Linked DNA regions of Drosophila melanogaster. The protein of the gene in region 1 interacts with the protein of each later gene in a pairwise test. Each region holds a gene or a part of one and is shown on either strand. Other genes may lie near its edges. The genes, in order: Drsl4, CG18508, CG31600 and CG7407.

Region 1 (2,424 bases):
CTCTTTGGAGTCGAAATTTTCGATACAATCAGGGGTCACTGGTACTTCCTGATTCCCTGATTCATTTTATCGATTGCAGCAATGGGCAAGATTGCGAGCTCTGCCTCGAGTTTCTTGGAAGCTTATCGAATTCAGATAGGAGCACATGTGTGACATCAAAGTTGAGGCACCTAGCCACTGAGCAAATGCATCACAAAAGATTTTGAAACGTGCTAAAAAAGATTATTGGAAATGCATGGAGGTGGTGTAGTCCTATATAAGCGTCCCCACAAGCTGTCGATACCAAACGTCTTCGAGAACTCAAGTAAAGTACCAGACTCGTTCGGAACATCAGTTGCAATGGTGCAGATCAAATTCCTTTTCGTCTTCCTGGCTGTGATGACAATTGTTGTCCTGGCCGCCAATATGGCTGATGCCGATTGCCTTTCCGGCAAATACAAGGGTCCCTGCGCCGTCTGGGACAACGAGATGTGCCGACGTATTTGCAAGGAGGAGGGACATATCAGTGGCCACTGCAGTCCCAGCCTGAAGTGCTGGTGCGAAGGATGCTGAATCCATACTATATCCATTTGAAATGTGTATATTGAATATTTCATTCTAAACAAATAATATATAAATATAAAGGCCTCTTACGCTTATCACTCATACGCACTGTTGTCTTTTAATTTCCTGTATGGCAATGTGTTAGGAGAAGTGAATGTTTACATACATCATTAAATCGAAAAGATAGCAATTCTAGGTAAATAACTTATTATGATAACGATGCATTTTTAAATCAATGAAGTTGACACATGGCACACATAAATCAAGTGTTTCTGGAAAACTAGGATTATATCGGTTATTGTTAGCTTGAATTTCCGAGAAGCTTATCGATTGCTACGATCAAATAAAAAATCTTAAAATCTGTATCTCTATATAAGCGTCCCCACGAGTGGTCGATGCCAAAAGTCTTTAAGAACTCAAGTAAAATTCCCGACTCGTTGAAAACATCAGTTGTCATGGTGCAGATGATATTCCTGTTTGCTATCCTTGCTGTAATGACCATTGTCCTAATGGAGGCCAACACTGTTTTGGCACGTGATTGCCTATCTGGAACTTTCGGAGGTCCTTGCTGGGCCTGGAGTGGAGAAAAGTGCCGCCGTCTCTGCATTGAGGAGGGACATGTCAGTGGACACTGCAGTGGCGCAATGAAGTGCTGGTGCGAAGGATGCTAGATCCACTGCAGTTCAAAAGTGCATGCTGTTTTTTTGTTTATTCTGAGCCAATAATAAATATACTGTACACCGCACAGTAAAAGGCACGTAAGCATTGCCTTTCAGGAGTTATCTCTTGATTTGATTTAATATGTATGTGGTAAGTATATTAAACAAAAAGGTGCATCAACATCAAGAAGGTATAGCAATTCTATCATCCCAAAATAGCGATGCGCGTTTTGTCGCGTAAAAGGCCCAAAAGTATGCCTTTCGAAAGTTATATTGCAGTTATTTGCATTTTCACCTTTATGCTAATCGGTTAATATACAAATTCTGTACCTATATAAGAGTGCAGTCGGACTCAAGAAACTCAAAAGTAAAGATTTTAACCAGAAGAACATTCTAATAATGGCTCAAATTAAAGGATTGTTTGCTCTCCTCGCTGTGGTGACCATTGTCCTAATGGTGGCCAACTCGGCTTCGGCCGTGGATTGCCCATCTGGAAGATTCAGTGGTCCTTGCTGGGCCTGGGATGGAGAGCAGTGCCGTCGCCTCTGCAGGGAGGAAGGACGTGTCAGTGGACACTGCAGTGCCAGTCTGAAGTGCTGGTGCGAACAATGCTGAGGATCCTCATCGTCCAATATGTTTGACACATATGTGTGTCATATGTTTTTTATTGTTTTGAAAAGAAAAATAAAGAATATACTTCACAGCAAATAATACAGTTTTATTTCTACTTAAAGAACGAATCCTTTTAAAATCATAAATTTACTTCGAAAATGAGATTTATAATGGAATGGAAGAAATAATTAAATGATAAATAATCAGAGTTAACTTCAATAGAAAGCTAAAATTCATTTAGAAAGAAGTGGAATATATAATTCAACTCATAATAAGCATTTAAGAAAAAAAAAGCATAGACTATTTCAGTCTTAACAAGAGTTGGAAAGGCCATTTTCATTTATGAACACAAATCTTCATTTACCAGCACCCATATCACTTTATGGGAAATAAAGATAATCTTGTCATGTTAATATTTCCAACAAATTATCAACCGTGTTACATCGAAAAGTGCAAGTTTGGTGTTTGAATCCGGTTCTGGGTTTTCCTAACAAACTCGACAGTTTTACAATTTATGAATAAATTTAATTAATGAAACTGGTTTAATTAGTTTCCTAGAAGTCTCGTGATAAATGGCACATTGCATAAAATCAATGTCGGCAGATTATTA
Region 2 (3,085 bases), on another chromosome or scaffold:
ATTATTATTATTATTATGACTATTATGTATTATTACATATTGACTAAGCTAAACTGTAAAAAGATTCTCATAACTGTTTGATTTAAGTTGACACATACAAAATACAAAAGGATTTGCAAAAAAAATTACACAAAAATCACCAATGGAAACGTATAAGTCTAATTGAAAGAAAGAAAGAAAAGAAGAAAAAAAAGGAAAAAACCACGAAAAAGACAGTAACCAGCCAAGTTTACTATATATATAAGGACACTCGACGATCTACGATCTAAGTTGATGAAAAGATATTTTCAAAAAATATGCAACAGAAAGAAAAAAAACGCACACACTTAGAGAAAACTGCAAAATACGAATTTTCTCGTTCGATTTGCATTAATTTTAATTTGAACGGTATTGCTTTCTTTCGTCTATATTTTGTGTGTAAGTTTTTAATGTGTAAATTGTAAAATTATTTGTTTTCCTAACTTAAACAGCCAGACAGCAAAACGAAACTGCAAACTTTTTGACATAAATAATAAATATTAAATAATTATTTTAAAAGCCGTGTGTTTATTTCATTAATTATATACATATACAACATATAAAGGCGAATTTTTCAGCTCTGCGTTGTTGCAGCTGGAACAAAGTTTAAATACCATATTTCATATTGGAACTGCGTGGAGTTAACCTTTAACCTTTAACTCTTGACACACACACACACAAACCCGCAGGAAAAGAGCAGTTTTTTCGCGTGTCAAAGTGTACATTTAATTGCAAGTTAATTATACTTTAGACGTTCTTGCCGCTCTTCAAGGGCCACGCCCCCTCCCCCTCCTTTACCAAACGATCGCCGCCCACCACGTTGGATTTGTGTCCTTGTGTTGTGTGCGTTGTGTTTTCCGCTCTTATGTCAAAACATAACAAAAAAAAAAAAATGTACTATGTGTTAAATTACAATATTTGGAACATTTCGACTAGATCTCCTTCTTGGACTCGTCCACTTCCGTTTCCGCTGCCATTGCTGTTGCATTCAATGGCGGATTTTCAGATTCCTCGGCATCGTCATCACTGACGTTCTCCGTCTTCTTGCCGCCCGGAACGAAGGGGCAAACGCCGCCCTTGCACTCGAATGGGAAGTCGGGTCCCTTTTTGATCACATTGCCATCGTCGTCCTTCTTCTCCCAGGGATTCCAGTAGCGCAACAGGATCGGCTGCACAAATTTGTGCCAAATGTACAGAAGCAGTGGAATGATAATACAGGGCACGCAAACCATTGTTCGGGCTTTAAAAATGGTTAGTTATTGGCGTTGCAAGTGATTACAACAATTGCGGAACGTACCTATTTAATGTTAGCTTACTGGCTCCGGAAAAAAAGTATTTCTCGCTTTGATTTCCTTAATTCAACTATTTATTTATTGTCAAAAATGTCAGTGTAGCCAGTTCACTTGTGTTTGGTATTGAGCCTAAAAACGCCACGCATATACTGTTATCTTAAAAAAAAAAAATACGTACTCTCTAGCAAAGAACGCAACCGGTTGGACTAATATAGTCCGGACTCGAACCAAACCGTTTGAAATCTATTAACCCTTATGTGCACACCTTAGCTTTTTTTTTGCTTTTTTTTTTAGATTTTTTAACACCATGCGCATTTACAATACAGTTGAAATTTTGTCATATCATATATTTATTTCATTTGCACAGTGCTTAACCCATCAATGGGCAACGGTAGGGAACGCCAGAGCGACAACAGTACTCCCTGCCCGCCTGCAGATTGGTATTAACCCATTGATTGTGACAGTTCTTGATGAACAAATAGGCCCGTTCCTTGTGACAATCGTGACCCAGTGCGGAGCATACTATATTTGCGGAATTCGGCAGATGTTGTACGATCTAAAATGGACGAAATGGTGAGTTATAGAGCGCTTCTCCTCATCTTTTCCTCCTCGTTTCCCCAGTACTCACCGTCTCTAGGCATTTGGTTTGACACTGCTTGCGACCGATGGCATTGCAGGGAAACATATGATCCAATTCCTGGTGGATAAGTGGCTTTGTCGGCAAGCCATTTGGGATTTGCGAGGAGAGGAAGACGCCGCATGTGCACGGCACTGGCTGATTATCCTGCACAGGCAGTCCCGCTGTCGGTGGCAAGGGAATGGTGCTAACCAGACTGCTGCTGCTCGATGGGTTTGTGCTCATCAGCGGACTCGCGGTGGTTGGCTCCATCGATCGTGTGGATCCTTCCGACGATCCGATGATGGGTGCCTCGCCAACGGTCGTTTCGGTGGTGCCATTGTTACCAATGGTTTCCGTGCTGGCTTCCAATTCGCTTGCGGGCGTTGTCATAATCACAAACTCAACGGCCGTGGGCCAATCCTCTTCGGCTGTTGTGCTGCTACTTGCAACACCAGTGCTGCTCATGGTGCTGGTTTCCAGTTTGACGGGCTTCGTCTTTATACGCTTGTCCTTGATGATGTTGCTATTGCCATAGAGCGGCTTCTTGTAGACTATCTTGGATGCCTCCAAATGGATGGCTAGCAGAAGTGTCAGCAGCAGCAGGGAATTTTTAAAGGCGCCTGATATATGAAATATATACGATATGAAATGTGTTCTTTAGCTAATATTACTTTCAAAGCTTACCCATCTTGGTATCTACGGAAACACTGAATACTTCTGCCTTTGCGCCATCCATTTTATATAAGCCATTTTCTTACTTGGCTTGCAGTTTTTCAAGATTTCGGTCTTCCATTTTAGTCGGCCCCCAACGAAGTTCAAGTTGTGAGAACCGGCAAAATTGTGTCAGGGTTAAGTCTGATTAAGCAGAATTTTCACACAAAGCGAGTGGAATTCATTCATTTGGAGGAAAGTGAGAAGAAAGAAAAAGAATTACTTCCGAAAATTATGCGTAATCAATAAACCCAAAAGTTGTGTCTTGAGCTGCACAAAGTTTACCTTACCGTTCTAAACTACTTTCCAAAATCTTTTTAAATATCCCGCCAAACTGCAATGAAACTGTTATGATTATAATAACATAATGGATAACATAAATAAACGGCCGATTAAACAGCAATTATTATCCAAATTATACAAGTTATAATATGGTAATATTAAC
Region 3 (3,324 bases), on another chromosome or scaffold:
AGCACTGTTCATACATCTACCTTAGGTCACGCCTTCGTTCATGCATTTTCCACAATTGATTTCCTGATATTATCTATATACATTTTTAAACCAAAAAAGACAATAAATTATAATTTGGAAAAGCAAACCGGTACATTTTCAGACCAATAATAACGGTATGGAATTGTCAAAAATGTGTACGTTTTGCTTAATGTGAATTGTTTTTCCATTCCGAAAGTTTATTTTGCCTTCTAATACTCACTTCCGTTTCCGCTGCACAAGACCAAAGTGTGTTTCCGCTACCCTATTACCACTCCATTCGCCATTTGAAACTTTTTTCGTACTCATCGAACGAATTATAACAAAACCAATTTTCCATGACAAAAAGACAACAGGAAAAAACCAAATTACAAATCAGACAATTAAATACTCATACTCAATACTCGCAAAATGTTTGACATTTATTAATTAAAAATAGGATAAACTGTATATTAATTTTATTCAAATTGTCATCGGCAATAAAAGACAGCTTATTTCAATTTATTTCTTTGTTCCATTTCGATTTGTCATCTACATATTGTATGCAATACAGTGGCATAGATTAAAACAATACAAACATTACAAGAAACTGCATTTAGTACTCAAGAATGGTTACATGGTAGTGTATAGAGTAGTAGTATTTGGTTAGGGTTAATAAGGCTAATGTTTCAAAATGTGTTTTTAACTAAATCTATTAGTACCGCAAGCCCGTGTGTAATAACTCTTTTATGTTTCCTTTCGCCGATCAAAGAAATACATTTCTTCAAAAGCGTTGCAGCAAGAATAAGTAAAATTACCAGTTCCACAAAAATAGCCAATCTGAGCTGCAAATGACTTATATGTTGTATCGGCATAAAAATGTTTTTAACAAAGTCACTGCAACCTTGGGTGATAAGGTCGGGATGGTAGCAGTGGGTTGGAACCCCTTGTAGATAATCCATATAAGAACGGGGACCCTCCAGTCCACAGCATAAAACCTGTGAAAAGCAAAACCCTTGAAAGGGCAAATGAGCAAAGGCATAACACATACCGCATTTTCAATCGAAGGCCAATCTGTCTCGTTAAAATTGGAGTATGCCAGCCATTTAAGGTTTAAGCTATCCATGAATGTACTATAGCTCCTGTTCATGGCTTCTAGTTGTTTTGAAATTGTGAAGTAAGTCCAATGAAGGACGAGTATCTGCAGCGGTATAAGCTAATTTACAATTATCAACCTCACGTTTTTTTTTTGGTAAAGTCCTTACCCCGAGAACAAGCCAATCATCACGCAAATTGGCTAAGTATAGGCTGACCAAATTCAGGCAAATGGTAATGGAAACGGTACTTGTTAGAAAATTAAAACAGTTAAGCACATTAATGGTTATTTCAGCGCTTTTAAGTCGCAGAGTAAAGGGTATAATTACTCGAAATAACACAGCCAATACAAGCTAAGTGTAGAAAAGTTGTCAGTAAAAACTTGAAGACGGGCTGCTGATTAAATACTTACCCCAAATAAAATAGCAGTTAGCTTTTTTATCATGCCCTCTACCATTTTGAGAATTATTTTAATATACGTAGCTCAATTTTATTCTACGCAAATTGACAAAATATTCGAAGCTGGAAATAATGGCCTACCACATAAATTCAAATTTTTGTTTTCCCAATTATGTATGTATACGAAATCACGCAGGTTTTTCTATTTGTGTTTCAATTCCTTTTTTCTGGCAAAATTTCATTGTTGATTTATGGGATTTGCTATTTTTGACAGTTGTTTTTGCTACAACGAATGAGAGTGTGTGCGATAACTGTTTGTAGGTATAAACATGATTTTATAATCGGCTTTCTATATTAATTTTAATTTTATTTTCGGCATTTTATTATAATTACTCTTGATATATGTAAATGGTCATCGTTAGCAAAATTATCATTCCGTATATGGCTGTATTGTTGCTGCACTTGATGTCCACATGGATGTCCCTCAACTCGTTAGGAAATTTACTACGCACTTTTTGTTGTGGGTTTTCAGTTCGCCAATGGGCCATGCGAAAAAATATTTCTGTGGCTTTAAATATTTTAATTGTCGCTGTTGGCTCTGTTCTGTTATTTCATAATCGTATGCTCTTTGTTGTAAGTCAAAAAGGGTGTAGTTCGAAATGCACAATAAAAATTGTAATATTTTGGCAAAATATTTATAATTATTAATGCTAATTTCAACAAATCCAATGCATTTCTGGCATTCTATTTGGACGATGGCTAAATACTTTGGTGTTTTGTATCTGTTTGTGATATTTTAATTTTACTGTCGCATTTGATCATAAATTAAGCGATTAACAAATAAGGGGCACCGTGGGTTATGGGTGCTCTTTTGAATTCCCTCGATGTGGCAATGGATGGAAGGGGCCAGTAAAACTATATTGCTTTTGATAAATGCCGATGGTTAGGACTCAGAGTGCGCCGCATTGAGCGGTTTAGTACTTAGTACTCAAGTGATATTAGAATTCCTGGTAGATTAAAAAAAATAACAAAATAATTGAAATATGAAAATGTGTCAGAAATGTTTCATTTAATCATATCCAATCGCGTTTGCCATTCAAATAAATCTCAAAATATATAAAAACAAATTTTTTACATTACAGTGAAGTTTTTGATAAGCCATGTTCGATACAACTAAATACTTTCCGCGTTCAGTTGATTCCGAGCATCCGTCCCAGTCGGAGCACAATGAGTCCTTGTCACTGGATCATGTCGTCACCTACGATATGGTCCATAACCCGGAGGGAAGATCACCTGATCACAGTGTCATCGAAATGACATCGGAAGCTGACCGGCATATAGGACACGATGTCACTTCATCTCCCCAATTGATGATTATATTTGAAGAAGGCGACATCAACAGTGCACTGCACTTTATTATTGAGTCGGTTCATAATCCCTTTGCCTCGAATGCGGTGGCCATGGTTCTGGTTGAAGAGAAAATTCGCGGGGAGATCGTCGAGCGAATCCTGTCTAAGCTACATCCTCTTAGTAAGTTTGTGGCCGAACATCCTAGCTATCTGGCAGCACTGGAGAAATGCCACACCTCCAACTTTAACATAATAAGGGCCTGCATTTCGGAGGTTGCCCCACCAATGGCTTCACCCATTTTTGTGTGTGACTGTACGCACGATAAGCTGGGAAGTTACCCAACTGGAGTAGTAACATTTCACACATTCCGCAATAACCAGGAGGCCATTGCCATAAGTCAGTGCGAATCGTTGGCCTTCGCATCCGTCTCCATTTGGAACGAAACGCTAACTGGATGCTACGATCTCGTGGCGGCCCTCAGCT
Region 4 (3,219 bases), about 19 Mb from region 1:
CCTTCGATGCTCCAAGGAGTCGACGGCACCTCAGTGACCACCTGGCGGGGATTGCATCCGGGCTATACTCACTGGCAAGGGTAGGAACAACCAGATCCGCAGCTGCAGCCATTGTCTTCCAATCTCACACGCACACACACACAGGAACAAGCACGTCGGTGGTGTTGTTGCTGTTGTTTTTGTTGTCGTGTCGTCTGATGTACAATCAGTGTTGGTCAACGATTTCGTGCTTGAATTGGTCACACACGGTTGCCGTGTACGCGGTGTATCGATAAGCGATAGTAAACATGCATGGGCATTGGCGCCACAACGACACGTTTAAACATCAACCAAACCAAACCGAACGTATTTAGAACTCCAACAAAATATCTGCTCCACGTGAATTTAAAAACATTTTAGTACTAAAAAATTTGGAACAGAAACGCTAAGCATTTCGACTGCTCCAATCGAAGGTGTGCTGATGGAATCTATATGTTAGAACAATTATTTTCAAAAATCCAATCGCGGCATATAAAATATGAGCGGTTATTTTCGGATATTTGGCTAGGAAACGGTAGGAAATATTTAGAGTATATATTACATCTTAACACAGCTAAACATTCTTTATTGAACAAATAAATCCAAAGTTATATGAACACAATTTAAATCTAACCAACGAATTTGGCGATTAATTGTGTTTAAATCTATACACTTTCTGATCGCGAGTTTTTATCTTGTAACACGTTAAAATATATACATATATTCTTAATTCGAAAGCTGATTTAAGAGACTAAGAGCCGAACAGCCATTTACTACAAATCTAAATCAGATATTAATAACACCAGGAACTCACAAAATACATAGATCGAAGTGGAATACATATAATTTACATACAACTAAGATATTATATTCCGACATCATCGACTGATGAGATAGCTCTCTGACTAAAGACTTGCCCGCACTTAGTGGACCGTATGAGGCAACACCAAATCTTGGAATTTTAAACATTAAACTAATAGATCACACAAGTCTGTACATTCAGGTAGGGTGAGCCCAGGCTCGGCGCCACTTCAGCGATAGAGCCGCACCTGCTGCTTGAGATCCTGGTCGCTTATTCGGTCCTGGAGGTTCAATTCCGCCTCCTGTTTGCGCAGGAGCTCAAAGATGGCCGCCAGCTGCTCGCGCTCTATTCGGCGCTCCTCCTCGATTTGGCTGGGAGTCAGGGTCTTCTCCATCTTATGCTGGAGCCTCTTGGCCTTGAGCTGGCCCATCAGGTGGTTGTAGCTGTGCTCGGGCAGCTGTTCCTCGATTAGCTCAACTTCGCTTTCGGTGGAGTTCTCTTCGTAGGCCTCGTCATCGTCGGTTTCCTCCCCTTGCGGAGTCCGTGACTCGGAATCCTCCTCATCGCGCGGCTCGTCGGCCCCCAGGCCCTCGTCCTCCAGTTCCTGCAAGATAATGTAAGGAAATATTCCAGGAGACGTCTACTTCTTCCGGCAAAAACACCCACGCCTTTGTCCTTGAAGATGTTGGCGAAGTAGAAGGCGACCAAAACGCACAGCAGAAGGGTGACCAGCGCTACCGAGTAGTGGCCTGGTAGTCCAAGAAAGAGAACATCCAGCGAAGGCAGAAAATCCTGCATTTCGAACTCTTTTTGCTATTTGTTGTGACTGAGTTCACTATTCTTGTTTTTCTTGGGGCGCAGTGTGGCCGTTAGCTGCGAACGAAATATTGCCAAGCAGCGCTAAGCGGATTTTCAAAAGGTTTTTTTTTTAATATTTTATATATTGGAAAAGTGAAGTACCTAATCCAACTTTGTTTAGTAAACTAACACTAAACGCATACATTTTAACAATCAAGAAATGGTAAATTACAAAATGCTTTAATATCGATGAAATCCACGCAGTAGTAGATCATCACATCATTTAAATAAATATTCTTAAGTCTATTGGCTGATGTTCATAGCAGATGTGTCCGAGCTCACATCTGCAATGTGGAATGAGGCATCTTCGGCGGGCATGTCATCCTCATCGGTGTACAATCGGCGTAGGCGCTCCTTATAGCTTTTAAAGTATAAGGGTTATTAAATTCGGAATGCATGAACAAATTAGGGCGTCTTACAGTTCGCTATCAGGATTATTGGCTTGATTTCGGCACTTGTCCAACTTTTTCTCGATGGCCTTGACCTTCTCCCGATCGGGCTGCTGATATTGCTTCACCATTATGCGAATTTCTGTCGGGAAAAAGGCATGTAGGGCTGGGCGCACCATCTCACAGCACAAACTTACTTCGCACGGCATCTATGAGTCCGGGTAGCTTCTCCCTGGCGGAGACAAACAGAAGATCCGTCACATAGCTATCGAGATTCTCTTGCTCTCTGCTGGCCGCGTGGAGGACGGCAGCCAATGCAATTTGCGAAGGCGTATGCAGAAGACAGGCATCCGAGTAGTACGTGGAATCAATGAAACTATCAATATGTGGCCGCAGACGATCTGGATTCTGCATATTGCTGCGAGTCTGAAACAAACCAATATGAACGAAACAATCTGGAGAGCAAATGTGAATATATATCGCACTTTTATATCTATCAGGAAACCCTCGATGGGTCTGAACGGATTGTGTATGGTGAGGTAGTAGTTGAGCTGTCCAATCAGCAGTAATTCATTGGACAACACTATGTCGGTGGCCTTGTTCCTGTCGCCCTTGATGTTGTTTACGAACTGGTTGATGGACACGTTGAACTCCTCAACTTTGCAGGCAACGAACACGCATGTGGCTCTGAAAAGGTTTATACATTTTTAGAATGTTTTGCTTTTCAGCTGGGTGTTTGCTGCTCTCAGGTGAGCGTTCCTACAGAATCTCCTTGGGGTGATAGTCCATGGGGGAGTTGTTCAGATAGAACCGCTTGAAGTAGTGGAAGGCCGTGCCCACAACGCACTTGGGCATCGTCGGTTCGAAGCGGCGGCAGAAATCGAACAGGTAGATCTCGTACTGCTTCAGCAACAGGCGCTCCTCCGCCGACGTGAGAAAGTGCTCATTGAGGTCGCGACCCTGCGCCTCCTCCTCGTGCGACTCGATGTACTTGCTGTTCTGCTCCACGCGGAACTCCATGAGCTGGCCCTCATTGGCGAATGTCCAGGACCTCTTTTGCGAGCTCACAGGATACATCTTGCTCAGCTGCCGGCGAATTTATGCCGATTCGAAACTCAGACACCCTGCATGGTGTTACCGATTGCGGGACGG

The links.
Region 2: the proteins of Drsl4 (region 1) and CG18508 interact in a two-hybrid assay, tested with the Drosophila melanogaster proteins (one large-scale study listed by BioGRID).
Region 3: the proteins of Drsl4 (region 1) and CG31600 interact in a two-hybrid assay, tested with the Drosophila melanogaster proteins (one large-scale study listed by BioGRID).
Region 4: the proteins of Drsl4 (region 1) and CG7407 interact in a two-hybrid assay, tested with the Drosophila melanogaster proteins (one large-scale study listed by BioGRID).

The regions. Positions count from the first base shown.
Region 1 is NT_037436.4:3,314,036-3,316,459, forward strand, and holds Drsl4 (Drosomycin-like 4), read left to right. Parts: upstream 1-1,584; 5' UTR 1,585-1,601; coding exon 1,602-1,817; 3' UTR 1,818-1,907; downstream 1,908-2,424. Other genes in the region: Drsl2 (Drosomycin-like 2), read left to right, coding at 340-552; Drsl3 (Drosomycin-like 3), read left to right, coding at 999-1,214.
Region 2 is NC_004354.4:3,171,730-3,174,814, forward strand, and holds CG18508 (uncharacterized protein), read right to left. Parts: upstream 1,412-3,085; 5' UTR 1,316-1,411; intron 1,259-1,315; 5' UTR 1,251-1,258; coding exon 951-1,250; 3' UTR 539-950; downstream 1-538. Other genes in the region: Fcp3C (follicle cell protein 3C), read right to left, coding at 1,681-1,866, 1,939-2,549, 2,614-2,665.
Region 3 is NT_033779.5:21,913,754-21,917,077, forward strand, and holds CG31600 (uncharacterized protein), read right to left. Parts: upstream 1,606-3,324; 5' UTR 1,550-1,605; coding exon 1,505-1,549; intron 1,446-1,504; coding exon 1,263-1,445; intron 1,214-1,262; coding exon 1,049-1,213; intron 996-1,048; coding exon 687-995; 3' UTR 516-686; downstream 1-515. Other genes in the region: CG11634 (uncharacterized protein), read left to right, coding at 2,652-3,324.
Region 4 is NT_037436.4:21,821,931-21,825,149, reverse strand, and holds CG7407 (uncharacterized protein), read right to left. Parts: upstream 1,690-3,219; 5' UTR 1,619-1,689; coding exon 1,487-1,618; intron 1,425-1,486; coding exon 1,050-1,424; 3' UTR 579-1,049; downstream 1-578. Other genes in the region: eIF2A (eukaryotic translation initiation factor 2A), read right to left, coding at 73-112; CycH (cyclin H), read right to left, coding at 1,922-2,039, 2,098-2,209, 2,265-2,493, 2,553-2,754, 2,831-3,144.